2 linked regions of the Xenopus tropicalis genome follow. The protein of the gene in region 2 purifies or fractionates together with the protein of the main gene of each other region. This does not show direct contact. Links are inferred from orthologs where the notes say so. Each region holds a gene or a part of one and is shown on either strand. Other genes may lie near its edges.

Evidence for each region.
Region 1: the proteins of araf (region 2) and bag2 purify together in Homo sapiens (affinity purification with mass spectrometry; 3 studies listed by BioGRID and IntAct, with this or other methods). This does not show direct contact. The link is inferred for Xenopus tropicalis from reciprocal best matches to the Homo sapiens genes ARAF and BAG2.

The regions. Positions count from the first base shown.
Region 1 is NC_030681.2:95,339,189-95,355,823, reverse strand, and holds bag2 (BAG family molecular chaperone regulator 2), read right to left. Parts: upstream 9,587-16,635; 5' UTR 9,471-9,586; coding exon 9,343-9,470; intron 5,235-9,342; coding exon 5,125-5,234; intron 2,199-5,124; coding exon 1,795-2,198; 3' UTR 1,658-1,794; downstream 1-1,657. UniProt on the Homo sapiens protein: Co-chaperone for HSP70 and HSC70 chaperone proteins. Acts as a nucleotide-exchange factor (NEF) promoting the release of ADP from the HSP70 and HSC70 proteins thereby triggering client/substrate protein release.
Region 2 is NC_030684.2:1,502,492-1,519,083, forward strand, and holds the start of araf (serine/threonine-protein kinase A-Raf), read right to left. Parts: upstream 10,054-16,592; 5' UTR 9,943-10,053; intron 5,915-9,942; 5' UTR 5,863-5,914; intron 5,581-5,862; 5' UTR 5,574-5,580; coding exon 5,325-5,573; intron 5,250-5,324; coding exon 5,146-5,249; intron 5,068-5,145; coding exon 4,965-5,067; intron 3,286-4,964; coding exon 3,128-3,285; intron 1,969-3,127; coding exon 1,888-1,968; intron 1,797-1,887; coding exon 1,658-1,796; intron 1-1,657. UniProt on the Homo sapiens protein: Involved in the transduction of mitogenic signals from the cell membrane to the nucleus. May also regulate the TOR signaling cascade. Phosphorylates PFKFB2.

The sequences.
Region 1 (16,635 bases), on a different chromosome or scaffold from region 2:
TTGGCTGTTGGTGGCTCCGTCCACTTTTTCAAAATTAAAACTGCAGTCCCCTAGTGACCAACTGTGAAAAGTTTAGGGACCCTGTTGTTAATACTGTGAGAATAGGAGCTGGTTGAATTTCCCCATTGAAAGTCAATAGGTTAAATCTGATTGGTTGTTGGTGGCTTTGCCCACTTAAAAAAAAACTTGAATATGTAATCACCCAGTGACTGACTGTGCAAAGTTTGGGAACCCTGGCATCAAACCAATAGAATTCAATAGGTGAAATTTGATTGGCTGTTGGCGGCTCCACCTGCTTTTTAAAAACTAAAACTGCGACCAACTGAAAAGTTTGGGGACCCTGGTGTTAATACTGTGAGAATGGAAGCAGGTTGATTTTCCGCCAAGTCAATAGGTTAAATCTCATTGGCTGTTCACAGATCCACCCACTTTGGGGCATCCAACAATCATCATATTTCCATTCAGGCTTTCCTCATGACTATGTGATTCAAGATTGTGGAGTGTAGCCTCAAAGCTGTAACATTGGCAGCAGTTTCAATTTTCCCGTAAAAGTCAATAGGTGAAATTTGATTGGCTGTTGTTGGCCCATCCCACTTTGACTCATCCAACAAATGCCGCTGTTTCATTTGGGGTGACCTCATGATTGTTATTCAAGTTTTTGGGGGGTGTAGCTTCAAAGCTGTAAGAGTGGCAGCAGTTTGAAAATCTTCCCTGTCAAAGTCAATGGGAAAATTGGGGTGTTCAGAGCGGCGCCACAAAAAGACGGGGGGCGGGATTGCTTAGAAAACCACAAGCAACCTGCTCCGCTATAGGGCGAAGAAGTGTGGAGAGATTTAGTGTTGTACCCCTAAAACTGTAGGAGGAGTAGCGTTTAGAAAATAAGGGGCACAAAGAAGAAGAAGAAAAAGCGGAAGAATACGCTGAATTCGAAGAACAGTATGTTCGGTTTTCAACCCAACATAATAATATAAAATAAGAAATATAGGTAAGACCCACAACCTGCAGGTTACCCGCTTTTCCTGACCTTCTGTAGGTGCAGCAGAGGATGAGAAGTAAAGAGAAGCCATAGCCACTGCAGTTCTGATAGTTTGCACTGTGTAACTTCACTAATGTATCTGTCTATTCTGGCCAAAAGCCAATCAGTCAGATAGCACCGGAGGTCAGACAGTGTATAGCCGCCTTAAGTTGCAAAATTCTGAAGGGGATATATTTTGTTCTAGTTCCTAAATTAAACCTTTGAAAATGGCCTCTGTAGCTCCAGGAATTTTGATTTATCAATTATATGCCCCTGCTTCTTTTTTTAAATGCATTACCTGTGCCAAACCGTTACTGGAACTTTTCACTGGCACTAGCTTGTTCTTAAAATCTTAAGACAACAGAAACATACAGTGCATTCCAAAAATTATCCAGACCCTTGGATCTTTCTCTTATCTCTGTTATTTGTATTTCAAAGCACTTGCACTTGTTAAGGAGTGATTTTGGCCCAGTCTTCAAAGCAGATTTGACCCAGGTTAAGTTATACTGAATAACATTTTGTGCACAGCAGTATTTGTTATTTAGTAAAATGAGATAATCGATCAATTTGTTAGTAAACTGCCGTATAGAACTATAGGTATTTAAAACTATATCTGTTGCAATTCAACACAAACCCAGGACGAATGATATGTGAACATTTAATTAAAGGTGAATTTAAATATGGTATCAGTAGATTTATACCATTTAAATGTCTATCTTCCTGTTTGCAGTTCTTGCAATATCCTTGCAAAAGAAAAAGTAGAGGGTCAGTCCGGAGATTTACAGGTTCTTGGTGTGAATCAAACTAAAAGCAGATTTCTGCCTCTGCTGCTCAAGCAACGTGATTGACTTCTCCGAGTTGTCTATATTCCGGATAAGGGTCTCCAGCCTTCTTTTTATTCTTTTTTGGTCCTCTATTGCACATCCAATAATTATGGACTGAAACTTCTGGTCTACTGGTCCTGCTGGAACTTCCGAGCTACAAGCTCCATACAGTCCCATTAACTGTTTCCTGCCATTTTCCAGGTTGTCCATGACTTTTTTCAAAATTTCATCAATAATCATGCTGGCCTGTTGTAGAGAGGATTCCTGTTGGGGGTTTCTAATGGTTTCTACAGCTACTGCAACAGTAAGGGTGCGGCCCATTAGACGTTCAGCTGTTACAAGTAGTTCTTCTCTCTCCCCTTTAAACAAAAGGCAAAATATACAAAGATTTAAGAATTTCATAGGATTTTTTAGAGCTTAAAGGAAATGTACAACCCCGACAAAAAATGTAATCAGTGAACAGTCTCTTTGAAATCATTAAATACCCGCTATTACGATTGTTCAAAGGTTAATTGTAAGGCTGATGCATCCCTTTACTTGGAATTTATTCACTCCTGTAACCCACTTGGCCCCCTCACTTAGGAACTGACTTTGGCTCTTGGCTTACTGAGCATGCTCAGTTTTTCTCAACTCAGGTTACCAAACACACCCTCCAGTCTAGCAGCCAATGAGGAGATGGCACAGCTGGATTTCCAGAGAAACTCGGCTCTAGCTCTGCACTCTGCTGGAGACACATTTTTCTTCTAACCTCCTTTCCTGAGCTCAGTTTACCCATTACAGTGCCCAATCCAAACAGGACTTTTTACCACAGGAAGTTCTACCTTTGTAAGTCTGCATTTTTATAGCACCCATGTGCTGTTTGCAGATGTAAATGTCACTGAAGATTTGTGAGAGCGAAAGTAGCTGCTGGGTGAAAGCTGCTATTTGTTACAGGAAAATGTGCTGGTGAATGGAGGGGGTATAGATATATAGATATTGTGAGAGAAATGCTGGGTCTTTTTTATTTACAATAGACTGGCATGGCGATGAGCTCTAATGTGGCCCCCTCATACGCCAATTTATATATGGACTCATTTGAGTCTGAATTTATCTATCCTCACTATATGGACAATGTATTGTTATACTGTAGAAATATTGACGATATCTTGATTCTATGGCGTGGGGGCCACATTGGAGTCAAAACGGTCGTTGCCAGTCTTAATACTCTTCCTACTCCTGTAAAATTTACTTCGAATTATGCTAAAGATATGATTGATTTTTTGGATGTTAGGATTTTTCGTACACCTATGGGAGTGGGTACTACTTTGTATCGTAAAGAGACATTGAAATACAGTACTCCATGCCCATAGTTTCCATCCTCCATCTGTGATTAAGTCCATTCCTTACACGCAATTCCTGAGAGTGTTTAGGATTAATACTGACTTTGCAACTGCATCACAGCAAGCCTATGAGATGTGTGACCGTTATGTCGAGAGGGGATACTCTTTGGATTTCCTCCACAGTGAAATGGAGAAGGCGATCAAGATGACACAGGATGACTTACCAAAAGCTTCACTAAACAAGACACAACTAGATCGGATGGTGTTTATTACTGACTATACACCAGGGAGTTACGGTGTTAATATGATACTTAAAAAGCATTGGCCCATTTTGCAGTTAGACTCTGGTCTACCATTTACCCATATGTCTCCTCCAGTGTATGCGTATCGCCGGGGTTGCTCGCTTAGAGACTTGCTGATGGTGACTGATTTGAAACATGAATCATCTGGAACGTGGCTGAAACCTGGTAAACCTGTATGTTTCAAATGCGGTGGTTGCAAAACGTGTGGCTGTTTAATCACAGGCACTACATTTGCTCTGCCCCACACTGGGAAAAAATTCTTGATACGGCATAGATTGACTTGTACCTTGGATCATGTCATCTATTGCATTATGTGCCCGTGTGGCTTTTACTATATAGGAAAATGTGTTACATCTTTCCCCACACAAATGAACAATCACAGATCAGTGATCCGTGCGGCTTTGGCTACTGGTAAGTCTGATATTCCACTTGCAAGGCACTTTACACAACAGAAACATTCGTTGCCCATGTTAAGGGCTAGTTTGATTGATCATATTCCCCCTTTATTGCGTGGTGGTGATTTCTAAACTACTACTACAAAGGGAGGCTCAATGGATTCGAAGGTTGGATACTATTGCTCCTCGTGGACTCTGACTCTGATATATAGTATATTATTCACTTCTCTAACTTTCCCACAATGGGAGATGGTTTGAGTATTTTGTTTTTCACTATCGGGTTATCCCCGCTCTCTATTGGCCCCCATATTTATGTTGATATTATTGATGATCGTGCTTTTAAAAAAATCATGTGTCAATTTTTGTTACTGATGTAATGTATAAATGTTAACTATATTTATGATGCGTGAGTAGGTGCTCCATAGATGGTGTTATGAGAGAGGGGGGTTTTAACAGTGATTTTTAATCACTTAATTGATATAATACTTACAGACTCTTGGATTGAACATGCTAATTGATTGGGAGCACTGATTAGTTCATGTTATGTGTGCACTTCACTTCCTTTCCCTATCCTGATGACGATCCTGTGGGGGTCGAGACGCGTAGATGCGATGATTGAATAAACGGACTGTTTATATATCTATTGCCGTGAGTGCTTTCTACATATGCACTCTGTATTTTTTGGTTAGCACCCGGCCGATATCTATGGAGTGGTGAGTGCCGATTTTTTGTAGACTATATATAAATTTTTTTTTATTTTTTTTTTGCAATACAAATGGTGTGGTTTGGGTGGGGGAGACATGCCCAACTTATATACATGGTAAATGTCCTTTAAAATACTGAAATTATATAATCTTTCCTCCAACAGATACACCATTTTGCATTTACCAACATTTGTGTTTTTGTCTCAGTAGGTCTTTCTGGGTGTGTTAACCTTGGGGTGGGAAAGGGAACAGATGGCCAGTCACTCTTATCTGTAACCGAGGTATGTGACAGGAGAGATGGAAGAACTTAAGGCGTATCTTCCATTTGAGTGAGGCCCACTGTTCCTGTCAATCTCTCCCCCTCCAGATTCAGGGTTAACAGCTCTAAGGCACAAGCATCTGCTATAGTTAATCCTTAGAGGCACATTTATCAACATTCAGATTTTAGTGTTTTTTTGAAACCACAAATAAAATGATATCCACTAAAACCTGCAATGTTGAGTCATTTATTAAAAAAATGGTAAGAATCATGGATTCGTTATCTATAGAGATGAGTAGGCCTTACCATCACTGATCGTCCTTATGTCATGACTGTTCTGCACGCTGTGAATCTTTTCTATCAGAGACTCCCTCTCCAGCTCTAGGGCAGAGGCTGCATCACGAAAGGCTTGGACCCTGCAAGAGTGGGAAAACTACATAATGTCACTATTCCTTTGCACTATTCATTCAGCAGAATCTGTTTCTCGCCATCATATTTGAAACCTACAAAAGCTTTGCCATAAAATTTTTATTTAATATGATGTTCAGGTATGGGACCTGTTATTTAGAATGTTTGGGGCCTCGAGTTTTCTGGATAAGTGATCTTATCGTAATTTGGATCTTCATACCATAAGTCTGTTAAAAAAATAAATGTAAACATTAAATAAACTCAATAAAAGTGTTTTGCCACCAATAAGGATTCATTATATTTTAGTTGGGATCAAGTACAAGGTACTATTTTATTATTACAGAGTAAAAGGAAATTATTTTATTAAAATAATTTTGAATTATTTGATTAAAATGGGGTCTATGGGAGATGGCCTTCCTTTAATTTGGTGATACTGGTGTATCCCATACCTGTGTAATCTCTGCAGAAAATGATCTCCATGGACCTTTAGCTATCTGAAAATAGCCTACTTTCCCTTGTCAGCACGTTACTGCTTTCTGTACACAACCCAGCATTCTGCTAAAGTTCCATTGGAAACATGTCAAAAGCAACAAAGAACTGGCAATGATATTTACACTCAAGCAACAGATAAATTGGGACAACCTCCCATGGGCTCCAGCATGTAACAGTTAGTGGGACCCGTTTATCAACACTGGTCAAACTTATCCCTGGCAGTTACCCGTGGCAACTTTTATTATTCTACTTGCAGCTGTCTGAAAAAAGCTACTCACTGATTGGCTGCTATAAATTCCTGCCCAGGTGTAAATTTACCCAGAGTTGATAAATGAGGACCACAGTAGGTCTGTGGCTGGAAAGCCTACAGCTTTATTAATTTGGCTGATATATCAGACGGTGATGTGCCTATATGTGCAACTGGGCAGTTTTGGTGAGCGTGTATGGAGCTGCTCTGGGGAGCCAAGAGAAGTAGCGTTCCCATAATAATAATGGGTTAGTTATTTTTGTTTTTGCTTATGCTGCAGTAAGGGGAATGAAAAGAACAGACATCCAGCGTGCCAAGGAGGAGGCCCCAAATACCTATCGACCCTTTATGTGGCCAAAAATAACCAGGAGTAGAAAAACAAAGACAGATAATGTCTTAAAAAAATCTCAGTCTATTAAAAATTGAGTATTTTCCAGATGCTTGTTTGAATTTTTGTTTCCTTTGAACATGTGACTAAAAGGATCTTTGGGCATTAATGTGGATTTCAGAAAAATTAACCATTACTCACGCATTCCACTTTGTGGCTTGTGGCATAGGGAACACTTTAAAGCTTTTTTCTTTTTGGTAATTATCTTAAACTGAACATCTATTATTCCAAAAAGCTGAGGGATGATGCAGAAGGAATATATTCTCCCAAACCATTCGTCATACTGCAGAGTAAGCAGTAAGTTTGACCGCTACATAAATGTTTCTTAATGAATTGCACTTAGGGAAATAACCATGCTGCTCTCAGTTTATGGCACTGGATAGAGTAAAAGAAACAGTGTGACTATTCTATGCCTGGCCTTCAACATCGCCAGTCGTTAGTGCTTCCCTCTGGCCTGCTACATCTCACCCTTTACTGGTTTCATGTTAGAGGATTATTGCATAGAATTATGCTAGGAATGGAGATAAGGAAGGTTGCTGCCAAACAATTAAAGGCAAACATGAGGGAAATAGTTATGTTTTAGCTCTATTTTCATTACAATCTAAGTTTTAGTTGGTCTTTACAGTTTAAAGTTTTGCTCCTGCTTATTGTTTCAATTACAAAATGGAAAAAATGTTCATGGATCACTCCTCTGAAAGACCCTCTCCCTTATTTGTGTGAGAACAATCAGCACAAACGTGGGGAAGGTCTAATCATACAGAGTTTGTACACAAACAGTACACATCCTATTCAGCCATGGCAGCTATGTGATGTGGATTGATTCCCACTGACATGAAAATTAAGTTCCACATTACACATTTACTGCCAATTACTGTGCAAAAACGTGTACCAAATTAGCCTTAGGTTGGTGCTACATTCTGCAAGATAGTGCTGAGGATTAGAGCTCAGGGTAATAATATACAGGTGCCTTCTGTGACTTGTGGGGACTTTTTAATTAATGAGAACAGCTATGGGTGTTTCAGATGTGGAAATAGCCTGCATGTGTCATTACACTGTGTGCCATAGCCTGTGGTCATCTGTTTAAAGTTGCATCAGAAGTGGCACAGAAATACAGAAGTGCAACCTCATCATGTAAAAAAACTGCATGCATGTTTGCTCAATAATAAATATCACTTGGGTTGAAAATACATTGTGTATTGTTTTAATTTAAAAAATCCATATTTTCCTAATTCTTTCCTACTATAAAGTACTAATGGAAAATTATGTTTTCTTCCTCTTGTAAATAGGGTAATTATTTTAAATGGAGATAGAGGTTTTTTTTTTTAAATCCTTCATAAGCTGCAGCCTAATTATAAGTAGCAGTTCAATATGCTAGTAATTTGTTCTACTATTTACTTCTTCTCAAACAGTCTCATAAGCCCAGTGTATTGGGGTTAACTACAACCCAGAGCTGAGGCAAGTAGTGCCTCCCTTTAGTTCCAACTGATAGTCTACTGTCTAGCCAGTCTACTGGCTTAAACACTGAAACTTACATTCAAATATAAGGGTATTTTTTTTGAGGTACACTACCCACTTAAATTATACTAAAATGCACCTTGCTCCCTATAACTATAGATCAACTAAAGACCCAAACTATCTATAACTTTGGTATTTGTTATTAGAGGGATGTTTTCCAAAAAGCAGTGGTGTAACTATAGAAGAAGCAAACCCCATGATTGTGACCTACTTATTAGCGAGCAGCGGGGAACGGGGGACGCAGTGCCAACTGGACCCCTCTATGTAGTGCAGTGACTAGGGGTGTACCTACCAACATGTTTGCATCTGGAAATTCAGTCCCAGAATCCATCACTGAATGAGGTAATGGAGGGGTTGCCTTGGTAAATGGTTCTTACAAATAACATAGCTTCCCTTTCAATCTGTAGAATCAGTGAGATTAACCTGTGACATTACTTTTACAAACTATATAACTGCAGCCACTCAACATTTAACCACCTGGCCCAGTTGGGTACCTAGCAAAAATGTAGTGTATAACCAGGGCTGCTGGCAACACATGACTGTCTGTGCAGGGCACTGCAGACTGTGAGTGTCCATCAGTAGTTTATTGTCCTCTGCTCACAGCAACTTGAAATGGGAAAAAATGTATATCCTGCTGATTTGCCAACAATACCTGCCTCCACAAAGCCTCTGCTTCCAATATTAAAAGTAATTTTCTTAACTCACCATAGCTATTTATTGTGTCAGGTAAGGGATAATTCACTTTTATTCCTGATGAGTTGCCAGCTATACCTACTGCCACCACAGCCTCCTGCCTTCTGTCCACAATATTTCACCAAAAGTGCAATCAATCTTTTTTTTCTATTCTAAGAGCTCCTACTTGCGCCAGGAAACAATACACACTTTATTCCTGGTGATTTGTCCCTGGCCAATATTTGACCAAAAGAATGCATAATCTTTTTTTCTCAGCTCAGAGCTCCAACTTGTGCTGGGAAACAAAAAAATATGCCTACTTTCTGGTAAGTTTCCTACAGTATCCAGAGCCACCAAAGCCACTGTTCAGTTGGGTTATATATATATATATATATATATATATATATATATATATATATATATATATATATATATATATATATATATATATATATTACACAAATATATGGCATTCCACAGACTGTAGAAAACTATTTTCCTACAAAATAGGAACAAAACAAAGGCTAGGCCAAAAGTACTGTAAAGATATATCGACCCTGGAGCGCAGAATATAGTTTTGCTGCCATATGACTTTGTAACAAGTTGACTTTTGCTTATGCTTTTCAGTCAGGCTTTCCCTCAGTAGTGCATATATATTGGGCAGGACTGGGAGATGTTATACTGTATGTATCCATAGGGAACACGTGTAGTCAGGCACCACAGGGCAGGGCAGCAGGCAGAGCGCACAGTAAGGGCATACACAGGGTACATATTATAGACATCATTCTGCTCGCTTCCTTACCTGACTTCCAGATCGTCCAAAATCTCTAACAGGTGGTTGGATCGAGCTGCCATAGAGACAGAGCGGCAGAACTTGCCTGCATTGTGCCCTTCGGTGGCTGCCTTTGCCTGGATTTTAGCCTGAGCCATAATAGCTTGCGGACTCTCCCTTCCACAGAAAAAGCACAACTGAGCAACAGAGGACAGTGAAATGCTTAGATCTTTCTAGACATCTCTCCCTCCTCCTCCTGCACTCTCACCGGGATAGAACAGCAGGATAGTGTAACATTGCCTAACATGGGCTTGGGCGGCTCCCGGCCCTGCACTAACTGTCAGCTGCTTCACTTCCCTGCCCCCAGCTGCAGCTCAGCTGCCTAAGGGACTGATTTTATGGGGCTTTGGGGGTCTCGAACTTCCCTAACCTGCTTTCCCTGTTGTTTATAAACTGTGCTTACACCCCTCCAGATGTTCAATCACTCATTCTCTGCTGCTGATCATATATATAATATAATGTACCTACTCTCATTCAACTGTTCATTCACTCACTCTACTGCAGATACACTGCCTGTTCTGCTCATATTTACACTGTACACTCAAACCATTCATTTCATTTATAGCCTACTGTATGGGTCCTCCCCAACCAAGGGACAGAGCCTGCTTATATTAAGGGTGAAGACACACTGGGCTACTAGTAGCAGATATTTTTTCTCAGCTACTAATCTCCAGAAAATACCCTGCCATAGACAATACTGAAAATTGCCTCTGCTAAAACACACGTAGAGACGGTTATCAGTAAATGGTCAGCATTGTCTTTTAGTAGCCAGAATGATGATATTGTACGAAACCTCATATGGGAGGGGGGTTATGTGAGTCGCAAACACGCATGTGCATGGGGAATAGAGATGTAGCGAACTGTTCGCCGGCGAACTAATTCGCGCGAACATCGGGTGTTCGCAAGTCCGCAAATTCGCGAACTTTTCGTGATGTTCACAATTTGGGTTCGCTGGCACCGAAAAAATCGCAAAACTTACAATAACGTTACGAATGCTCCGAAAAAGTCGCAAAACTTACGATAACGTTACGACTGCTCCGAAAAAGTCGCAAAACTTACGATAACGTTACGAATGCTCCGAAAAAGTCGCAAAACTTACGATAACGTTACGAATGCTCCGAAAAAGTCGCAAAACTTACGATAACGTTACGAATGCTCCGAAAAAGTCGCAAAACTTACGATAACTTTACGAAAGCGCCGGAAATTACGAAAAAGTCGCAAAATTACCGATCATTTCGAAAAACGGCGTGTGTCAATTTTTCAGAGAAGTTTTTGCCCTTGATCCCCCTCCTGCATGCCACTGTCCAGGTCGTGGCACCCTTTAAACAACTTTAAAATCAGTTTTCTGGCCAGAAATGGCTTTTCTAGGTTTTAAAGTTCGCCTTCCCATTGAAGTCTATGGGGTTCGCAAAGTTCGCGAACAGGTTCGCAAACTTTTTTTTTGAGGTTCGCTACATCCCTAATGGGGAATTTAGGGCCACCCCACCGCACTGAAAATCAGCTGCAACTCCGGCCATTGCAAGCTTCACTGGTATTTTTTTCTTATTAAGGGTAATGGTACATGGGAAGATTATCATTGTTTGTAGCTCCAGAAATGTATTGCACTTAGAGATTGGGAAAAAATCTATAAATCTCTTCCCCAAAGTAAATGGGAAATACTGCGATGATGCCTTGTTCTGTCTAGTGACAGGTTTGTATCAATGGAAAATGCAGAGCCACATGTTTCATTCATATGTGGTTAGCAATAAGCAGAACAAGGCAAGATTGTGGCATTTCCCATTCACAGGGGAGGGTGATTTGTAACACTAAACCCTTCCTGCAATGCTCCTACAGGGGACTTTGTACTTACTTATACTCTTAGGTAACAACATACACACCACCAGGAAGCCCCAGTTGGCAAGCATCCAGTTTTGGGCACAATCAGCTGTCAGGGTCCTAAGGAAATTTCTGCCTGCTTCAGGGAAATGCAAAACTATGGGAATTAGTATTGGCTGATATATAAACAAGGAGATAGAGTATAGGTAACTACCTTATGTGCTGTTTTTAACTATTCACAGAAAATTAGCAACAAAACGGTGTAAAATATGGTGAAATAGATTAGCCCTACACTTTCCTAACTTGTTTCTGTTGCCTTTTTTTCCCAATGGAAAGCAATGCAAGGGTCAGAATGAGTACAATACACACAATAGGGGCGTATTTATTAATACTGGAGACAAACATCACCGGTGATGTTGCCCATAGCAACCAATCAGCAATTAGATTTGAATGGTCCTCTACAAGTTAAAAAAACAAAAGCAAAGATCTGATCATCGGTGATGTTTGTCTCCAGTGTTAATAAATGCACCCCTACTGTAAGTTCTGAACTTCTATTTCTGTTAAGTAACAATGTTAAGATCATATTTTATAGAACAGCTTACGTGTTACAGAAAACAGTAAACTTTAACCTACAATTTTACAAGATTTTTACTGTTAGCTGGATGAGGCATATTGCACAACAGTGATAGCAAGCCCTTTTATGCAGTCACCTGCTGCTACTTACATTCCAGCTCATACCATTATTGCTCATACTCATTCAGGCATTAGGGAGTTAAAATCTACAGCTATTGGTGTTTTGGTGCCAGAGTGTTCCTTATCAGGACAGCGTTTGTCATTGTATATACTGTTTTCCCCATATGTAGGGTTACTCTGTAGCATGTAAAACACTTCCTTCTTTGCAGTTTCCCAGACTTTGTACAGTGTCACATTGCCTTATTTTAGGGACTGCTGTCAGGTCTTTTATTTTTTGTTTATGAACGTTGTGGTTTGCAATAATGTGGGTGCTCTTAAAGTGATATTTTTATAGGCATGTGTGGAAAAGTGCATGACCTGATCTGGAAGGAGAAAGCAATTTTGCAGCCTTATTGCTGCAGTGAAATAAATGAGATATTGGATGACAAACCTTGGTGGGGAAACATAACATTATAGTGCAAGTTTAAATTGATGATTATTAGTCAGTGTTAGAACTATATGCACCAATTAGTAAAAAAAAAAAAAAGTCGACAGCAGTTCTGTCATTCCTTCCAAAATAAACTGAGCTACCCTTGGTATGAAGAGAGAGCCATCTTGGTCATAACAGCCTTAATAGCTTCACCATTTCCATTAAAAACAGGCCCTCTTCAGAAAAGTCACATTAGCCGCCTGTGCCTCCATTGTGAATTATGTGGCAGATTTGAGTTTGCTCCATAAATTATACAGGGCCCGCCTTGTGTCTTCTGGAGTGCTCATGGAGAATAGTGGTAACAAACTTACTTCTCGACTGTTTGCACGCCTGTTTTAGAGCAGTAATGGCAGTTGTCGTTGGAGGGGGTAATATTGAGTATTCTCTGAGCACGGATCTACAAAACACCTAAAATGGCATTACCCTAAAGTTTACCACTTTTTTAATACTAAAAACACGTGAAACTGATAATTGATTAACTTGCACTGATGTACTACAATATATTCCATATCTCTTCCCTGCCCCCCTCACAAACATTTCCACTTTTGCAATTTCCAGAGCAGATACCTCAATGCAGTTTTTGAATAGAAGTATATTGGGGGAACTTCCATTTTAATGCAGGACATCAGATACATTCCAGCTGAAAAGGGATTCCATTCCCTCTGCTGTAAAATGGTTGGGAACAATCCTTTCCATTAAAGAAGAGAAGCCCAATAGGCTGTGAACGTAAATATGGTCCTACCAGGAATCTTAAAATTTAAATTCTTCTTAAATTCCTGCATCACCTGACTTTCTTTTCCCTACTGAACCGTTTATAGCTTTTATAGCATAAAGCTTACAAAAAAATAAAAAAGATAAACAAAATAACACCAGTTTGGCATAGTGCAGGATAAAATACACAATCTGTCCTTAAGGTGGCCATACACAGTAAGATCCCTAAGGTGGACAATATCGGACTAATTGAAGTTAAACCAGCAGGCAGAGGCACAGTCGAGGACTGAATTGGATTGTTGGTTGGACAGAATATCAAACCTGCCCGATCAAGATCTGGGCAATTTTAGGCTGGGTAGGCCCAGTGGGGGGTGCCCATACATGGGCAGATAAGCTGCCAAATCAGTCTAAAGGACCCAAATTGGCGGCTTAAATTTGTATGGCCACTTTTAGGTTATTCATTCCTTCAACCCTTTTATAATGAAAACTTTTCCAGGTGTTGGATGATTAAAGGGATATGTTTTATTCTTTAGCAAAAGAAAGTCCCTCCTAATTGATAAATGTAGTAAATGGCAGCTGAGCAGATAATTGGCTTCATGAAATGATTGCCCTTCCCATTTCCTACACAATACTTGAAATTGATTATAATTAGCAAATTACAACAGCAAAATGGAAAGACTGGGGGTAGGAAGCCGGATACTTTTTAATATATATTTTTCTAATTTCTTACCTATAGTCCTCTGCAAAACAAGGCACAGGCTTTAGTACATTCAGTGAATGTGTGATTAAAAGTTGTATCATCTTTGAAGTTCACCTAAAACAATCTGGGTTAGAAAGGCTCTAAACTGGAAAACAAAGCCATTACAATTCACATCTTGCACAACTCATTTTTTTCATATACTCACTGTATTCATTTGGATAGAATGGCAAATGCAGACTGGAGTTGGGTAAAATGCACTATAAGGGCTAAACTACTCGCTGAGTGTGACGACTATTATTTTCAGTATTTTTTCATTGATAATCTTCAGAGAATCTAAATTAATAGTCTTCAAAGCAAGTTTTTTTTTTTTTTTTTACATATATATCAACATATACTAATACACAGATAGGTAAAATCTAAGACAAAAACTTTTTAAGTGTCCCTGCAGTCAAATTTCAGGGAAAAGACAAAAGAACAAAAAAAGAAAAAGGACAATCACAGATTTGAAGAAAGAATCAAACAAAGTAATGTATTTGTTCCTGCTTTTTTACATCTCCATCATACTACTTCTGATAGCTTCTTTCAAATTGTCATCTGTAAAATAAATGAAGCTTTAAATACCTCTTTTGGCAACAGTTGCAGACATTACTACTCCTCATAATACCCAAGGCAATCTTCAAAACAGCACTTTTGTTTTTGGCAAAATGCATTGTAAATATGCTATTTAGCTAAATTAATGCCATACGGGGCTGATTCTCTTTGCTGCTTTTTTTACCCCTACGCTAGCATAGGCTTACTTCCTACTCCTGCACCTGGAACCACTGCATTGGCCAAGGTGCAGGCACATGTGGTAGATTTTGGCAGGAAACGCATGAAATCTGATGCGCATGCTTGCACCCAGGCTGACACAATGGTTCTATGTGCAGACAAGAAAGAAGGCTGATGTCAATGTAGGGCCCGATTCCTGGCTGGCATTTTTTTTACCGTGTGCCTTAGCACAAAAATAGATAGATTTTTTATAATTCTAACATTTTAAACATTACTTGTTTACATGGACACAGGTAAAATAGTATTACAGGTAAAATAAATTTTTGTTTTGTTTTTTGGTTCTTTAACAGACATAATTTCCCCCACTGGATTTAGGTCTGCCAGATTGGTCGGGAAATGAGTATATACAAATCCAACAAACCTTAATCCAATCCTGTAAGTTTGGCTTCTGTGTTATCATTTGCATCTGTAGAAATGGTGGAAAGCAAAATGTAAAATATAATATGAATATATGGTATGAAAGATCGTTCCTCATTTTATTACTAGAAGTTTTTGACTCTAAAAAGATGTTTAATACTCTTTTAACACTACACTTTTATTGTTTTTGCTATTATTAATACTCTCTAGCACTTTGTCTGCTATTAAGGAAAATATGACAAACCAGCTAAGCACACTCCTTTAAGGCCTTATACAGTCTATGCTACAATTCTGTAATTCTAGTTTTATGCTTATCAGTATAAAACTATTCCGGTAGTTTCATGTATAGGCAATAAGCCAACTCCTGCTCCAGCTTTGCCCCTGCCTGATTCATCTACCATTTATAAACTATACACCTATATACAATTACTCCTATCCATATAAACAGATTCTCAAATATATTGTGCTGTGCCGAAGAAGGAATAAATTACAACCTTGAATCAGATGAACATTTAACAGAACATTGTATTCAGATTTTTTGAAAGCATGTTGATGTAATGCCTAGCTCTGAAGGAGCAGAATCGATACTAAAAGAAAAAAATCTCAGGATAGTGTCAGTCCTAACTGTTGTAATTTGATCAGCCAGAAGTGTCTTATGCTTCTAATATAGCACAATTAAAAAGATCATTTAAAAAAAGGTTAGGGATCCCTGTTATAGGTCATAGAAAAGAATAGAATGCCCTAAGGTGGGCATATTTGGGAAAGATCCACTCATCTGGTTACCTTGCTAAACAAGCGGATCTTTCAGTGTATGGCCACCTTTACTCTTTCAACTGGTCTTCATTTTTCATTTTATAGTTTTTGAATTATTTGCTTATTATTCTGTAATGGACCAAATATATTCATCATACAATTCTTTGCTGCGTTTCTAGAGTAACTAAAAGATTAGCGATCAGTTAGCCCTTGAAGTACCAAACCGGACATCTAATGAACAAAGAGCTAACTAGTTCAGAAACCTCCCAAATGAAATATTAACAATTGCAAAGTGACTTAGAAAATCATTGCCTATATCATGCCAAAAGATAAAAGTAAACTACTAAAGTGTGTGTTCAGATGGTAAAGATTCCTTTCGTTTGTGCCTGTAATCAAAAAGGTCATGTCCTTGGTAAAATAATTTTTTTCTTTATTTTTTTTAGTGAAATTTTGTATGCTACATGTGAAGCAAATAAAAAGTTAGCTGAGTACACAAGCACAGCCCACACTACCCACCCCCGCCACCTAACCCCACACTAAACAAAGCACAGACTAGATATACACAGTATTTCATCTTTCTACACACTCTCACTGGCAGCGTACCTTGTCTTGAATCACATACAGTGGCTTGCAAAAGTATTCGGCCCCCTTGAACTTTTCCACATTTTGTCACATTACAGCCACAAACATGAATCAATTTTATTGCAATTCCACGTGAAAGACCAATACAAAATGGTGTACACGTGAGAAGTGGAACGAAAATCATACATGATTCCAAAATTTTTTACAAATAAATAACTGTAAAGTGGGGTCTGCATAATTATTCAGCCCCCTGAGTCAATACTTTGTAGAACCACCTTTTGCTGCAATTACAGCTGCCAGTCTTTTAGGGTATGTCTCTACCAGCTTTGCACATCTACAGACTGAAATCCTTGCC
Region 2 (16,592 bases):
TATGGGCCCCTTGTGTCTGTGACTGTTACCCCTTGGGGGCTGCGCCGTTAGCCCGGTGTCCTGTAGCCGCTACAGTTTATCCACATTAATAGTGAGAAATATAATAACCAACCCCCCCCCCCCCCCCCAGTACTTACCCAGGTACAGAGCTCTGATTCTCTGTACTTCCTGCTCCTGGGCTGCTCTCTTTCCCATGGTCAGGCAGGAACCTCCCCCTGGGTAAGTGAATCCAATCTCCCCCCAGTACTTACCCAGGTACAGAGCTCTGATTCTCTGTACTTCCTGCTCCTGGGCTGCTCTCTTTCCCATGGTCAGGCAGGAACCTCCCCCTGGGTAAGTGAATCCAATCTCCCCCCAGTACTTACCCAGGTACAGAGCTCTGATTCTCTGTACTTCCTGCTCCTGGGCTGCTCTCTTTCCCATGGTCAGGCAGGAACCTCCCCTGGGTAAGTGAATCCAATCTCCCCCCAGTACTTACCCAGGTACAGAGCTCTGATTCTCTGTACTTCCTGCTCCTGGGCTGCTCTCTTTCCCATGGTCAGGCAGGAACCTCCCCTGGGTAAGTGAATCCAATCTCCCCCCAGTACTTACCCAGGTACAGAGCTCTGATTCTCTGTACTTCCTGCTCCTGGGCTGCTCTCTTTCCCATGGTCAGGCAGGAACCTCCCCCTGGGTAAGTGAATCCAATCTCCCCCCAGTACTTACCCAGGTACAGAGCTCTGATTCTCTGTACTTCCTGCTCCTGGGCTGCTCTCTTTCCCATGGTCAGGCAGGAACCCCCCCCCCTGGGTAAGTGAATCCAATCTCCCCCAGTACTTACCCAGGTACAGAGCTCTGATTCTCTGTACTTCCTGCTCCTGGGCTGCTCTCTTTCCCATGGTCAGGCAGGAACCCCCCCCCCTGGGTAAGTGAATCCAATCTCCCCCAGTACTTACCCAGGTACAGAGCTCTGATTCTCTGTACTTCCTGCTCCTGGGCTGCTCTCTTTCCATGGTCAGACAGGAACCTCCCCCTGGGTAAGTGAATCCAATCTCCCCCCAGTACTTACCCAGGTACAGAGCTCTGATTCTCTGTACTTCCTGCTCCTGGGCTGTTCTCTTTCCCATGGTCAGACAGGAACCCCCCCCTGGGTAAGTGAATCCAATCTCCCCCCAGTACTTACCCAGGTACAGAGCTCTGATTCTCTGTACTTCCTGCTCCTGGGCTGCTCTCTTTCCCATGGTCAGGCAGGAACCTCCCCCTGGGTAAGTGAATCCAATCTCCCCCCAGTACTTACCCAGGTACAGAGCTCTGATTCTCTGTACTTCCTGCTCCTGGGCTGCTCTCTTTCCCATGGTCAGGCAGGAACCTCCCCCTGGGTAAGTGAATCCAATCTCCCCCCAGTACTTACCCAGGTACAGAGCTCTGATTCTCTGTACTTCCTGCTCCTGGGCTGCTCTCTTTCCCATGGTCAGGCAGGAACCCCCCCCCTGGGTAAGTGAATCCAATCTCCCCCCAGTACTTACCCAGGTACAGAGCTCTGATTCTCTTTACATCCTGCTCCTGGGCTGCTCTCTTCCCACTGGCAATGTAAAGAATGTGCTCCCTCTAGTGGCCAAAGTGTTACCTAACATTAGATGAGCCCCAGTGAGTTATTAGTTAGCTGGGGGGGCAGTACCTCAATGATGGAGTTATCCACGGGGCCCGTGGTGCTGTCAATATGAACGTTGGGGGTGGAGGTGGAGCGGTGCCGCTGCAGTGGCTGTCCCTCACCAGGAAATGAAAAGGAAGCGCTTCCTGGGTGCTGAGTCCGGGGGCTGCGAGAGGGAGACATGGAATGGAATGGGAACCAGGGAGAGCGAAATGAAGAGGAGAAGATAATGGGGGCCATGACACAGCCGGCGTTACCTGGGGGGCTGGGGGCTGAGGGGTAAGTGGACAGTGGGATGTTCATAGTAGGACTGGAAATCTTGATAACTGAGAGGCGTCCTAAATAAAGAGAAAATAGGATTATTCCACTACTAGCGCAGGGGGAGGAGCATAAACAGGAAGAGACACGAGGCCAATCATACGCAAGGGAATGAATGGGAACGTGAAACACCAGCCAATCACAGCAGAGAATGTGACAGTAAATGGAGTCAAAATTGGACAAGGTCATAACAACAGGGAGGGAGGCAAGAGGGCATTCTGATTGGGAAATGAATAAGCCAATGACCAGTATGCGGGGTGGGGGCCATTTGCATATTCATGAGAAATCAATTAGTACCCGGGTATAGCTGCAAGGGGGAGGAGCAAAAGACTTCCCCCCATATGTACTAAAAGGCACCCCATTTGCCCTGGAGCAGTAACCCATAGCAACCAATAAAAAAACAGGTGACCAGTAAATGCTGCCTGCCGATTGGTTGCTATGGGCGATTAGATTGGTAGCAAACTTTGCTCCTTCCGTTAATAGATATGGGGTCTGTGAATATGGTGGGAAATCCGCCAAATCTGTCTTAAAGGGGCAGCTCACCTTTAATTTAACTTTTACTATGTTATAAATGGCCAATTTTTAGAAACTTTTCAATTGGTCTTCATTATTTATTCTTAGTTTTTGAATGATTTCCCTTCTTCTTCTGCCTCTTTGCAGCTTTCAAATGGGGGTCACTGACCCCGGCAGCCAAACCCTATTGCTCTGTGAGGCTCCAGTTTTATTGTTACTGTTACTTTTTATTCCTTATCTTTCTATTCAGCCCGTCCCCTATTCATATACCAGCCTCTCATTCAAACCCCTCCCTGGTTGCTAAGGTCATTTGAGCCCTAGCAACAGGATAACTGACCCCGGCAGCCAAACCCTATTGCTCTGTGAGGCTCCAGTTTTATTGTTATTGTTACTTTTTATTCCTTCTCTTTCTATTCAGCCCCTCCCCTATTCATATACCTGTCTCTCATCCAAACCACTGCCTGGTTGCTAGGGTAATTTGGACCCTAGCAACCAGATAGCTGCTGAAATCCCAAACTGGAGAGATGCTGAAAAAAAGCTAAATAGTTGAAAAACTTCAAATAATTAAAATAAATGAAGACCAATTGCAATTTTTTTTAAAAAATGTCACCCTGTAGGAGTTAATTGAAAGCACTTTTGGCGGCGAGGGCGGCCGCTCTTACTCACAGGGGCTTGGGCAGCTTGGCCATATCCACGCAGGCCGTGGGCACCTTACTGCTGCAGTGCTGGTGGAACTTGTAGCCGCAGGTCTGGCAGCGGAAGCCGTGGAACAGGAACTTCAGGCAGAAGTCGCAGAACGCCAGGGTGAAATGGGTTTTTCTCACCTGAGGGACAGAGAAATGGCGGATTATTATTAAAGGGGAACTTCGACTTCCGAACCGAAATCACATTTTTATTAGGGATGCACCGAACCCCCGAACCCACCCTGAAAGATTCGTTCGAACCCACCCTGAAGGATTCGGCCGAACCCCCGAACCCACCCTGAAGGATTCGGCCGAACCCCGAACCCACCCTGAAGGATTCGGCCGAACCCACCCTGAAGGATTCGGCCGAACCCCCGAACCCACCCTGAAGGATTCGCCGAATTCCAAACCCACCCTGAAGGATTCGAAGGCCGAACCCACCCTGAAGGATTCGCCGAATTCCAACCCACCCTGAAGGATTCGCCGAACCCCCTGAAGAAGGATTCGGCCGAACCCACCCTGAAGGATTCGGCCGAACCCACCCTGAAGGATTCGGCCGAACCCACCCTGAAGGATTCGGCCGAACCCACCCTGAAGGATTCGGCCGAACCCACCCTGAAGGATTCGGCCGAACCCACCCTGAAGGATTCGGCCGAACCCCCGAACCCACCCTGAAGGATTCGGCCGAACCCACCCTGAAGGATTCGGCCGAACCCCGAACCACCCTGAAGGATTCGGCCGAACCCACCTGAAGGATTCGGCTGACCCCCCTGAAGGATTCGGCCGAACCCCCGAACCCACCCTGAAGGATTCGGCCGAACCCCCCCTGAAGGATTCGGCCGAACCCCCGAACCCACCCTGAAGGATTTGGCCGAACCCCCCCTGAAGGATTCGGCCGAACCCCCGAACCCACCCTGAAGGATTCGGCCGAACCCCCCCTGAAGGATTCGGCCGAACCCCCGAACCCACCCTGAAGGATTCGGCCGAACCCCCGAACCCACCCTGAAGGATTCGGCCGAACCCCAAACCCACCCTGAAGGATTCGCTGAATCCCAAACCCACCCTGAAGGATTCGGCCAAATCCCAATCCCCAACCGAATTCAGTGCATCCCTAATTTTTATACACTGAAATGTATCATCATTTAAAATCCAGACAGGGGAGGAGGGACTAAAACGTTGATGTTACGAATTGTAACAACTTCTCCACAGCTTACAGACAGCAGGCAGGAACTACATAGCCCACAATGCATTGCTCTGGGGTGTCCCTTTCCTTATTGACATCATGTGTGCAGCAGGGGATTGTGGGATTTGGAGGCTGAAGACTTAAGGTGGCCATACACCTTCAGATTGGGGGATATCGGGATAAGATCCGCTCACTTGGTGACATCGCCAAGCGAGCGGATCTTCTCCTGATATCCCCCAACTACGGGTGGGCGATATCAGGAGAATCCAGGTTAATTTGATCGTTTGGCCCTGGGGCCAAATGATCGAATTATAACGACGGGTATAGGCGGTTCGGGGACCGTATCAACGAGCCGATGTGGTCCCCAATCCAACTAGATCTTTTAAACCTGCCCAATCGATATCTGCCCGATTTCAGGCCAGATATCGGTCGGGCAGGCCCGTCAGGGGACCTTTAGGACAGTAGTCAGGAACGTAGTCAGCGGAACAGGGGGCGGGGCTTAGGGAACCGTTCCAGACCCACATTAGTACATTGAAAATCAGGAAAAAGCGGAATGTTTTTTAATAAATGTATATTGCAAAGTTGTGTTTGGGTAAAGTTCCCCTTTAATTGAAGGTTAATATTGCAAGCGGCTTACGAAATTGTGCATGGACAGGGGGACGTCGGCCAGGACCTCCACCATCAGCTCCTCGCCCACTAGGGGGGTGATGTCCGTCTCCCAGTCGGTCAGGGCTTTGCGGCTGCAAAGGGAAACACAATGGGCGCTACAGAGCGAGCGGGACAGACGTAAAGCGTAGCCGCCATGCTGTGCCACTTACCCCTGTATGAGCCGATACACCGCGCAGCATTCCTGGCTCAGACCGCGCACTTTCAGTGCCTTATCCAGAGAGTCGTACACCGTCATGCCAGGGCGCACGTTTACCTGCCGGGCACAAGGGAGAATGGGCACAAAGCCGGCAACGGGCACAAATGGCGGAAACATAGGCCGGAGACTCACCACTGTCCTCTGCTGGTTGGGAAGATACACTTTGACGGTTCCCCCGGACTTGCCCTCCGCGTGGGGGTACTCGCTGACTGAGGCTCCCCGGCTGGGGCTTTCCTGCTGGGCGGGCACCCGAGTGCCGGGGTTGGGCAGCTCCAGGACGGCGGCCGACAGCATCACGGCGCTCCCCTTGCCCAGCTCGCGGGAGAGGGAGTGCAGGGCCCCGTTGGCGAGGGCCCCCGGCGGGGTGTGAGAGCGCTTCATTGGCACCCTGGCACAAAGGAAAGCGGATTCGCCGTTACTGCGCCCCCCCCGATACCATTTGGTGGGAGAATCACACAGCAGATGGGCAGGGAAGGCAGCCATAAACACACAGCGAGGAGGAGGAGGAGGAGGAGGAAGGGGAAAGCACAACCTGCTGCTCACACTCCATTCCCATCTTCCTCTTTGGTATTTTGATTAAATAAAGGCAAAAGATATGGCGTTTACTACCCCCCCCTCTTATATACACCCCCCTCCCCGGTATACCCACCCCCCGGTATACCCACCCTACCTCTCTCCTCAGGCCCTCGGCCTATGGCGACGCTCAGGGGGAGATCCTTCTCCTATGGGGAAAATCACAGACATCAGATGCTTTCCTTAGTGCTAAGTAACACTGGTTTGTCCCTCCTGGGCTCCCGTAGCAGGGCCATTATTAGTATTCCTCTCCATTAGTCACTGCCCCCAGCAGAGCTTACAATCTAATCTACCTGCCCCAATTCACTGCAATAAATCTGCCTCTCTCCAGCCTGGATTTGGATTTATTTAGAGCCCCGTAACATGGAGGCAGTATAATAATGTGACGGCGGTGCCCCCCAAACACGTAAATAGGGGACTTGGCCCGTAACAGAGCCGGAAGCGGAACCGGGTCAGTAAGTGCAGATAAGCTGGGGATAAACTGATAGTAGGAGCATAGACTAAACACTGGCAGTGACAGGCACCGGCGGCTGCGGCACAATATCAATATTTACTGGTAAATGAGTAACCGGGAAACCAGCATTCCCATAGGCTCTGGTTAGCCCCGCCTCCTGCGCCAGGCTCCAATAGGGACACAGCTTTCCCACCCGGGGTATCCACAGGCACTTACACACCTATATATAACCTTACAATGGGGGGATCAGATAGGATCTGTGCCACTGTGACAGAATGCTCTGTTATACAGATAGCTAGAATCTCAGCCATAAAGCAGGGCAGGACTGCTGCTTACAATGGGGGGATCAGATAGGATCTGTGCCACTGTGACAGAATGCTCTGTTATACAGATAGCTAGAATCTCAGCCATAAAGCAGGGCAGGACTGCTGCTTACAATGGGGGGGGGATAGGATCTGTGCCACTGTGACAGAATGCTCTGTTATACAGATAGCTAGAATCTCAGCCATAAAGCAGGGCAGGACTGCTGCTTACAATGGGGGGGGATCAGATAGGATCTGTGCCACTGTGACAGAATGCTCTGTTATACAGATAGCTAGAATCTCAGCCATAAAGCAGGGCAGGACTGCTGCTTACAATGGGAGGGATCAGATAGGATCTGTGCCACTGTGACAGAATGCTCTGTTATACAGATAGCTAGAATCTCAGCCATAAAGCAGGGCAGGACTGCTGCTTACAATGGGGGGATCAGATAGGATCTGTGCCACTGTGACAGAATGCTCCGTTATACAGATAGCTAGAATCTCAGCCATAAAGCAGGGCAGGACTGCTGCTTACAATGGGGGGGATCAGATAGGATCTGTGCCACTGTGACAGAATGCTCTGTTATACAGATAGCTAGAATCTCAGCCATAAAGCAGGGCAGGACTGCTGCTTACAATGGGGGGGGATCAGATAGGATCTGTGCCACTGTGACAGAATGCTCTGTTATACAGATAGCTAGAATCTCAGCCATAAAGCAGGGCAGGACTGCTGCTTACAATGGGGGGGGATCAGATAGGATCTGTGCCACTGTGACAGAATGCTCTGTTATACAGATAGCTAGAATCTCAGCCATAAAGCAGGGCAGGACTGCTGCTTACAATGGGGGGGGATCAGATAGGATCTGTGCCACTGTGACAGAATGCTCTGTTATACAGATAGCTAGAATCTCAGCCATAAAGCAGGGCAGGACTGCTGCTTACAATGGGGGGGGATCAGATAGGATCTGTGCCACTGTGACAGAATGCTCTGTTATACAGATAGCTAGAATCTCAGCCATAAAAGCAGGCAGGACTGCTGCTTACAATGGGGGGATCAGATAGGATCTGTGCCACTGTGACAGAATGCTCTGTTATACAGATAGCTAGAATCTCAGCCATAAAGCAGGGCAGGACTGCTGCTTACAATGGGGCGGATCAGATAGGATCTGTGCCACTGTGACAGAATGCTCTGTTATACAGATAGCTAGAATCTCAGCCATAAAGCAGGGCAGGACTGCTGCTTACAAACAATAAACACACCGGGTGGGTATTGGACCAAACCTCCTCTCAGGTGATGTCACAGCCCAGACCCTTTGGTGACATCATTACCTGCCCCCCCAAACACCCCCACAGGCAAAGGTACAAAAATCCCGGTGGGGCATCAGGCCAGGAGCGGACAGGAAAGGGTGGGTTGGGGTCGGACTCTGTATTGGTTATTACTGTGCCACTAAATACCCCCCCCCGCCCTTTAGCAGAGAAGGTCTGTTGCCCCCAAAAAATGCCCCCCACCTTCTTTTCTGCTGTCATTTAGCTGAGTTTAGGGGCCCACTCACAGTGACAATAGTATATTCTGGGGGGGGGGGTAATACTGGGGTGGGGGGGGCATTATAACACAGTGGGGGGCAGTGACAATAGTATATTCTGGGGGGGTAATACTGGGTGGGGGGCGCATTATACAGTGGGGGGGAGTGACAATAGTATATTCTGGGGGGTATACTGGGGGGTGGGGGGGCATTATACACAGTGGGGGGGGAAGTGACAATAGTATATTCTGGGGGCGTAATACTGGGGGTGGGGGGCATTATACACAGTGGGGGAGTGACAATAGTATATTCTGGGGGGCATTTACACACAGTGGGGGGTAATACTTGGGGGGGCATTACACACAGTGGGGGGGTAATACTGGGGGGCATTACACACAGTGGGGGGTAATTGGGGGGCATTACACACAGTGGGGGGGTAATACTGGGGGGCATTACACACAGTGGGGGGGTAATACTGGGGGGCATTACACACAGTGGGGGGGTAATACTGGGGGCATTACACACAGTGGGGGGGTAATACTGGGGGCATTACACACAGTGGGGGTAATACTGGGGGGCATTACACACAGTGGGGGGGGTAATAACTGGGGGCATTATACACAGTGGGGGGGGCATTACACACAGTGGGGGGGTAATACTGGGGGGCATTACACACAGTGGGGGGTAATACTGGGGGCATTACACACAGTGGGGGGTGGGCATTACACACAGTGGGGGGGGGCATTACACACAGTGGGGGGGGCTTACAAACACACAGTGGGGGCATTACACACAGTGGGGGGGGGGCATTACACACAGTGGGGGGGGGGCATTACACACAGTGGGGGGGGGCATTACACACAGTGGGGGGTAATACTGGGGGCATTATACACAGTGGGGGGGCGCATTACACACAGTGGGGGGTAATACTGGGGGGCATTATACACAGTGGGGGGGGGCATTACACACAGTGGGGGGTAATACTGGGGGGGCATTACACACAGTGGGGGGGTAATACTGGGGGGCATTACACACAGTGGGGGGGGCATTACACACAGTGGGGGGGGGCATTACACACAGTGGGGGGGGCATTTACACACAGTGGGGGGGCATTACACACAGTGGGGGGGGGGCATTACACACAGTGGGGGGGGCATTACACACAGTGGGGGGGGGCATTACACACAGTGGGGGTAATACTGGGGGGCATTACAAACAGTGGGGGGGGGGGCATTACACACAGTGGGGGGGGGCAATTCCACAGTGGGGGGGGGCATTACACACAGTGGGGGGGGGCATTACACACAGTGGGGGGGGGCATTTACACACAGTGGGGGGGCATTACACACCGTGGGGGGGCATTACACACAGTGGGGGGGGGCATTACACACAGTGGGGGGGGGGCATTACACACAGTGGGGGGGGGGGGCATTACACACAGTGGGGGGGCATTACACACAGTGGGGGGTAATACTGGGGGGGCATTACACAGTGGGGGGGTAATACTGGGGGGCATTACACACAGTGGGGGGGGCATTACACACAGTGGGGGTAATCTGGGGGCATTATACACAGTGGGGGGGTAATACTGGGGGGGCATTATACACAGAGGGGGGGTAATACTGGGGGGCATTACACACAGTGGGGGGGTAATACTGGGGGGCATTATACACAGTGGGGGGGTAATACTGGGGGGGGCATTATACACAGAGGGGGGGTAATACTGGGGGGGCATTACCACAGTGGGGGGGTAATACTGGGGGGGCATTATACACAGAGGGGGGGTAATACTGGGGGGCATTACACACAGTGGGGGGGTAATACTGGGGGGGGGATTATACACAGAGGGGGGGTAATACTGGGGGGCATTACACACAGTGGGGGGGGGCAGTACGTACCTGGGAGAGAGGCCGATACGGGAGGGAGGGAGGCAGAGCGGCCGCTACACAGGCTCCAACTTCTCTCCCCACAGCCCAAGTCTCATCTCGCGAGAGTGGCGTCACGGCCGCACGTAACTGGTGGGAGTGACGCATCACGTAATGCCTTGTGGGCGTGGCCAGTCGGCGTAAGGCGGGGTTATACGCTGGGACAGTACCGGGGAGGCCGCCATCTCCGCTGTTCCCTCAGTTTCCCGTTTCATTAACAGTCATTTCTGTTTCCGGGGTGAAAATAACAACATTTCAGCTTTTTGTACTTTCAGTCAGTTACAGTAACGCTCAGTGTTTATAGAATGGCCGCTTCTAAGCAACTTTTCAATTGGTCTTTTTTCTTTATCTTTCATTGAATTATTTGCCTTCCTGTTCTGCCTCCTTATTATTGTTATTGTTTATTCCTTCTCTTTCTATTCAGCCCCTCCCCTATTCATATGTCTCTCAAACCACTCCCAGGTTGCCAAGGTAAATTGGACCCTAGCAACCAGATAGCTGCTTAAATTCCAACATTTAGTAGTAAAATGATTCCTAAGCTACAAATAATAGAGAATGAATAGTTAACTGAAAGGGCAACACCCCCTTTAATGAAAAAGACTAGAAATTAAAGTGAATTAAACACGGAAACAAAACGGGTCCCAAGCGATTTCTCCCCAATAATTATATCGCCCCCCCCCCCCCCCGTAATTACACTCGGATTGATTGTCTGTGGCGGGGGACCGGGCATTTGGGCAGATAGGGAGTCGGGGGGCTCAGGTTCTTGGGGGGACCGGGGATTCTTTGGCCGCAGTAGAGAGTCGGAGGGCTAAGGTTCTTGGGGGACGCGGGGCATTTTGGCCAGGTAGGGAGTCAGAGGGACTAAGGTTCTTGGGGGACCCGGGCATTTGGGCCCAGTAGAGAGTCGGAGGGGCTAAGGTTCTTGGGGGGCCGGGCATTTGGGCCAGTAGGGAGTCGGAGGGGCTAAGTTCTTGGGGGACCGGGGCAATTTGGGCCCAGTAGGGAGTCGGACGGGCTAAGGTTCTTGGGTGGGACCGGGGCATTTGGGCCCAGTAGGGAGTCAGAGGGCTAAGGTTTTTGGGGGGACCGGGGCATTTGGGCCCAGTAGAGAGTCGGAGGGCTAAGGTTCTTGGGGGGAGCCGGGGCATTTGGGCCCAGTAGGGAGTCGGAGGGGCTAAGTTCTTGGGGGACCGGGGCATTTGGCCCAGTAGGGAGTCGCGGGACTAAGGTTCTGGGGGGCCGGGGCATTTGGGCCAGTAGAGAGTCGGAGGGGGTAGGTTCTTGGGGGGACCGGGGCATTTGGGCCCAGTAGGGAGTCGGTAGGGCTAAGGTTCTTGGGGGGACGGGGCTTTGGGCCCAGTAGGGAGTCGGAGGGCTAAGGTTCTTGGGGGACCGGGCATTTTGGCCCAGTAGAGAGTCGGAGGGGCTAAGGTTCTTGGGGGACGGGGCATTTGGGCCGTAGGGAGTCGAGGGCTAAGGTTTTGGGGGACCGGGGCATTTTTGGCCAGTAGGGAGTCGGAGGGGCTAAGGTTCTTGGGGGAACCGGGGCATTTGGCCAGTAGGGAGTCGGAGGGGCTAAGGTTCTTGGGGGGGACGGGGCATTTGGCCCAGTGAGAGTCGGAGGGGCTAAGGTTCTTGGGGGACCGGGGCATTTGGGCCAGTAGGGAGTCGGAGGGCTAAGGTTCTTGGGGACGGGGCATTTGGGCCAGTAGGGAGTCAGAGGGACTAAGGTTCTGGGGGACCGGGCATTTGGCCAGTAGAGAGTCGGAGGGCTAGTTCTTGGGGGACCGGGGCATTTGGGCCTAGTAGGGAGTCGGAGGGGCTAAGGTTCTTGGGGGGACCGGGGATTTTGGGCCCAGTAGGGAGTCGGAGGGGTCTTGGGGGGACCGGGGCATTTGGGCCCAGTAGGGAGTCGGAGGGGCCTAAGGATTTTGGGGGGACCGGGGCATTTGGGCCCAGTAGGGAGTCGGAGGGCTAGGTCTTGGGGGGACCGGGGATTTGGGCCAGTAGAGAGTCGGAGGGGCTAAGGTTCTTGGGGGACGGGCATTTGGGCCCAGTAGAGAGTCGGAGGGGCTAAGGCTCTATGGGGGGGACCGGGGCATTTGGGCAGTAGAGAGTCGGAGGGGCTAAGGTTCTTGGGGGACCGGGGCATTTGGGCCCAGTAGGGAGTCGGAGGGGCTAAGGTTCTTTGGGGGGCCGGGCATTTGGGCCAGTAGGGAGTCTGAGGGGCTAGGTTATTGGGGGGACCGGGGCATTTGGCCCGTAGGGAGTCGGAGGGGCTAAGGCTCTTGGGGGACCGGGGCATTTGGCAGTAGGGGAGTCGAGGGCAAGGATTTTGGGGGGAACCGGGCATTTTGGGCCGTAGGCGCTGGAGGGGCTAAGGTCTCTGGGGGACCGGGGCATTTGGGCCAGTAGGGAGTCGGAGGGGCTAAGGTTCTGGGGGACCGGGGCATTTGGCCCAGTAGGGAGTCGGAGGGGCTAAGGTTCTTGGGGACGGGGCATTGGCCCAGTAGGGAGTCGGAGGGGCTAAGGTTCTTGGGGGGACCGGGGCATTTGGCCAGTAGGGAGTCAGAGGGTAGGTTCTTGGGGGGACCGGGCATTTTGGCCCAGTAGGGAGTCAGAGGGGCTAAGGTTCTTGGGGGACGGGGCATTTGGGCCCAGTAGGGAGTCGGAGGGGCTAAGGTTCTTGGGGGACCGGGGCATTTGGGCCCGTAGGGAGTCCGAGGGGCTAAGGTTCTTGGGGGGACGGGGCATTTGGGCCAGTAGGGAGTCAGAGGGGCTAAGGTTTTGGGGGGACGGGCATTTGGGCCCAGTAGGGAGTCGGAGGGGCTAAGGTTCTTGGGGGACGGGCATTTGGGCCCAGTAGGGAGTCGGAGGGGCTAAGGCTCTTGGGGGGACCGGGCATTTTGGGTCGCCAGTAGAGAGTCGGAGGGCTAAGGTTCTTTGGGGGGACGGGGCATTTGGGCCAGTAGGGAGTCGGAGGGGCTAAGGCTTTTGGGGGACCGGGGATTTGGGCCCAGTAGAGAGTCGGAGGGGCTAAGGTTTTGGGGGACGGGGGCATTTTGGTGGCCCAGTAGGGAGTCGGAGGGGCTAAGGTTCTTGGGGGGACCGGGGCATTTGGGCCCAGTAGAGAGTCGGAGGGGCTAAGGTTCTTGGGGGGACCGGGGCATTGGGCCCAGTAGAGAGTCGGAGGGGCTAAGGCTCTTGGGGGGACCGGGGCATTTGGGCCCAGTAGGGAGTCGGAGGGACTAAGGTTCTTGGGGGGACCGGGGCATTTGGGCCCAGTAGGGAGTCGGAGGGGCTAGGTTCTTGGGGGACCGGGGCATTTGGGCCCAGTAGGGAGTCGGAGGGGCTAAGGTTCTTGGGGGGACCGGGGCATTGGGGCCCAGTAGGAGTCGGAGGGGGCTAAGGTTCTTGGGGGACCGGGGCATTTGGGCCCAGTAGGGAGTCGGAGGGCTAAGGCTCTTGGGGGGACCGGGGCATTTGGGCCCAGTAGAGAGTCGGAGGGCTAAGGTTCTTGGGGGCGACCGGGGCATTTGGGCCCAGTAGGGAGTCGGAGGGGCTAAGGTTCTTGGGGGACCGGGGCATTGGGCCCAGTAGGGAGTCGGAGGGGCTAAGGTTCTTGGGGGGACCGGGGCATTTGGGCCCAGTAGGGAGTCGGAGGGGCTAAGGTTCTTGGGGGGGACCGGGCATTTGGCAGTAGAGAGTCGGAGGGGCTAAGGTTCTTGGGGGACCGGGGCATTTGGGCCCAGTAGGAGTCAGAGGGGCTAAGCGTCTTGGGGGACCGGGGCATTTGGGCCCAGTAGAGAGTCGGAGGGCTAAGGTTCTTGGGGGGACGGGGCATTTGGGCCCAGTAGGGAGTCGGAGGGCTAAGGTTCTTGGGGGACCGGGGCATTTGGGCCAGTAGGGAGTCGAGGGCTAAGGTTCTTGGGGGGACGGGCATTTGGCCCAGTAGGGAGTCGGAGGGGCTAAGGTTCTTGGGGGACCGGGGCATTTGGGCCCAGTAGAGAGTCGGAGGGCTAAGGTTCTTGGGGGACCGGGGCATTTGGGCCCAGTAGGGAGTCGAGGGGCTAAGGTTCTTGGGGGACCGGGGCATTTGGGCCCAGTAGGAGTCGGAGGGGCTAAGGTTCTTGGGGGGACCGGGGGCCCAGTAGAGAGTCGAGGGGCTAAGGTTCTTGGGGGACGGGGCATTTGGGCCAGTAGGGAGTCGGAGGGGCTAAGGTTCTTGGGGGACCGGGGCATTTGGGCCCAGTAGGGAGTCGGAGGGCTAAGGTTCTTGGGGGGACCGGGGCATTTGGGCCCAGTAGGGAGTCGGAGGGGCTAAGGTTCTTGGGGGGACCGGGGCATTTGGGCCCAGTAGGGAGTCGGAGGGGCTAAGGTTCTTGGGGGGACCGGGGCATTTGGGCCCAGTAGGGAGTCGGAGGGGCTAAGGTTCTTGGGGGGACCGGGGCATTTGGGCCCAGTAGGGAGTCGGAGGGGCTAAGGTTCTTGGGGGGACCGGGGCATTTGGGCCCAGTAGGGAGTCGGAGGGGCTAAGGTCTTGGGGGGACCGGGCATTTGGGCCAGTTAGGGAGTCGGAGGGGCTAAGGTCTTGGGGGGACGGGGCATTTGGGCCCAGTAGGAGTCGGAGGGGCTAAGGTTCTTGGGCTGGATTCCCGGGGGCTATTTGGGGGGACCGGGGCATTTGGCCCAGAGAGAGTCGGGGGGCTAAGGCTCTTGGGGACCGGGGCATTTGGGCCCAGTAGGGAGTCGGAGGGCTAAGGCTCTTGGGGACCGGGGCATTTGGGCCCAGTAGGGAGTCGGAGGGGCTAAGGCTCTTGGGGGGACCGGGGCATTTGGGCCCAGTAGGGAGTCGGAGGGGCTAAGGCTCTTGGGGGGACTGGGGCATTTGGGCCCAGTAGGGAGTCGGAGGGGCTAAGGCTCTTGGGGGGACCGGGGCATTTGGGCCCAGTAGGGAGTCGGAGGGGCTAAGGCTCTTGGGGGGACCGGGGCATTTGGGCCAGTAAATAGATTGCACTATGGCCCCTCCCTGCACAAACTGGTAACTCATAGTATTTGTGCTGTGAATAAGCTTTGGGCCTGACCCACGAGTTCTGAGAGCCCGGTGCTGTTGCCCCCGGTTACACTGATCCAGAGGCGCCAGGCCCCTGAGTGCAGAGAAGGGTTGGGGGGAACCAACCTACGCGCTGGTACCGAAGTGAGTGGTTTCCCCCTAGTGGAACATATTGGTACTGCAGCCGTACTGTAATAATGACCTCATCACCAACAGCCCCTTGCCGGCCAATCATTTCCATCTTACAGAATGAATTTACATATATTTGCATTTGCCCATCCCTATAGGCTGTGTATCTCCCTAATGAGCCCGTTAGAGAGTAACGGGGGGGAAGTCGCACCAGAGTGTAAGGAGAGGGGCGGGTCCTGCTCACAAGAGCTTACAATCTGGTGCTCACCCCCCTGACCTCCATGTGTGAGGGGTTTCACCCAGCCTTACCCTATGGGGCTAATCTGTACCTGCCCCAACATTGGCCGATATGTACATGCCCCCCCCCCCGTGCTGTGTGGGATTTCGGGGTGCGCCTAATCGCTATGTTGGGGATTCGCCCAAACCTGGAATCTTTCCAGAAGGATTTTGGAAGAATCCAAACACGAACAAAGGGGGGAAAGAAAGAAAAAAATGTTCAATCACATGATCTAAAGTCACATGGTTTTAAGGGTTCGGTTTGGCCAGGCGCTTGGATTTGGCTGGGGTCGAACTGGGGCCCCCCAGTTGCAATGTCAGGGTTCTGTCTATTGGGCCCCACCGCCATTTTCCAGGGTCTATGCCAGCTTGCCAGGGAGATCAGCCAAGCACACAGTGTTCCTCTTGGAATGGGGTGTGTGGCCTAGCTGTGATGGGGTGATGGGGTTGCCACACGCTATTCAACACATACATGTTCGTAGGCAGACACATACATGTTCATAAGCAGACACATACATGTTCATAGGAAGACACATACATGTTCATAGGAAGACACATACATGTTCATAGGAAGACACATACATGTTCGTAGGAAGACACATACATGTTTGTAGGAAGACACATACATGTTCATAGGAAGACACATACATGTTGATAGGAAGACACATACATGTTCGTAGGCAGACATACATGTTCATAGGAAGACACATACATGTTCATAAGCAGACACATACATATTCATAGGAAGACACATACATGTTTGTAGGAAGACACATACATGTTCATAGGAAGACGCTTACATGTTCGTAGGAAGACACATACATGTTCGTAGGAAGACACATACATGTTCATAGGAAGACACATGTTCGTAGGAAGACACATACATGTTCGTAGGCAGACACATACATGTTCGTAGGAAGACACATACATGTTCATAGGAAGACGCTTACATGTTCATAGGAAGACACATACATGTTCATAGGAAGACGCTTACATATTCATAGGAAGACACATACATGTTCGTAGGAAGACACATACATGTTCATAGGAAGACACATACATGTTCGTAGGAAGACACATACATGTTCGTAGGAAGACACATACATGTTCGTAGGAAGACACATACATGTTCATAGGAAGACGCATACATGTTCATAGGAAGACA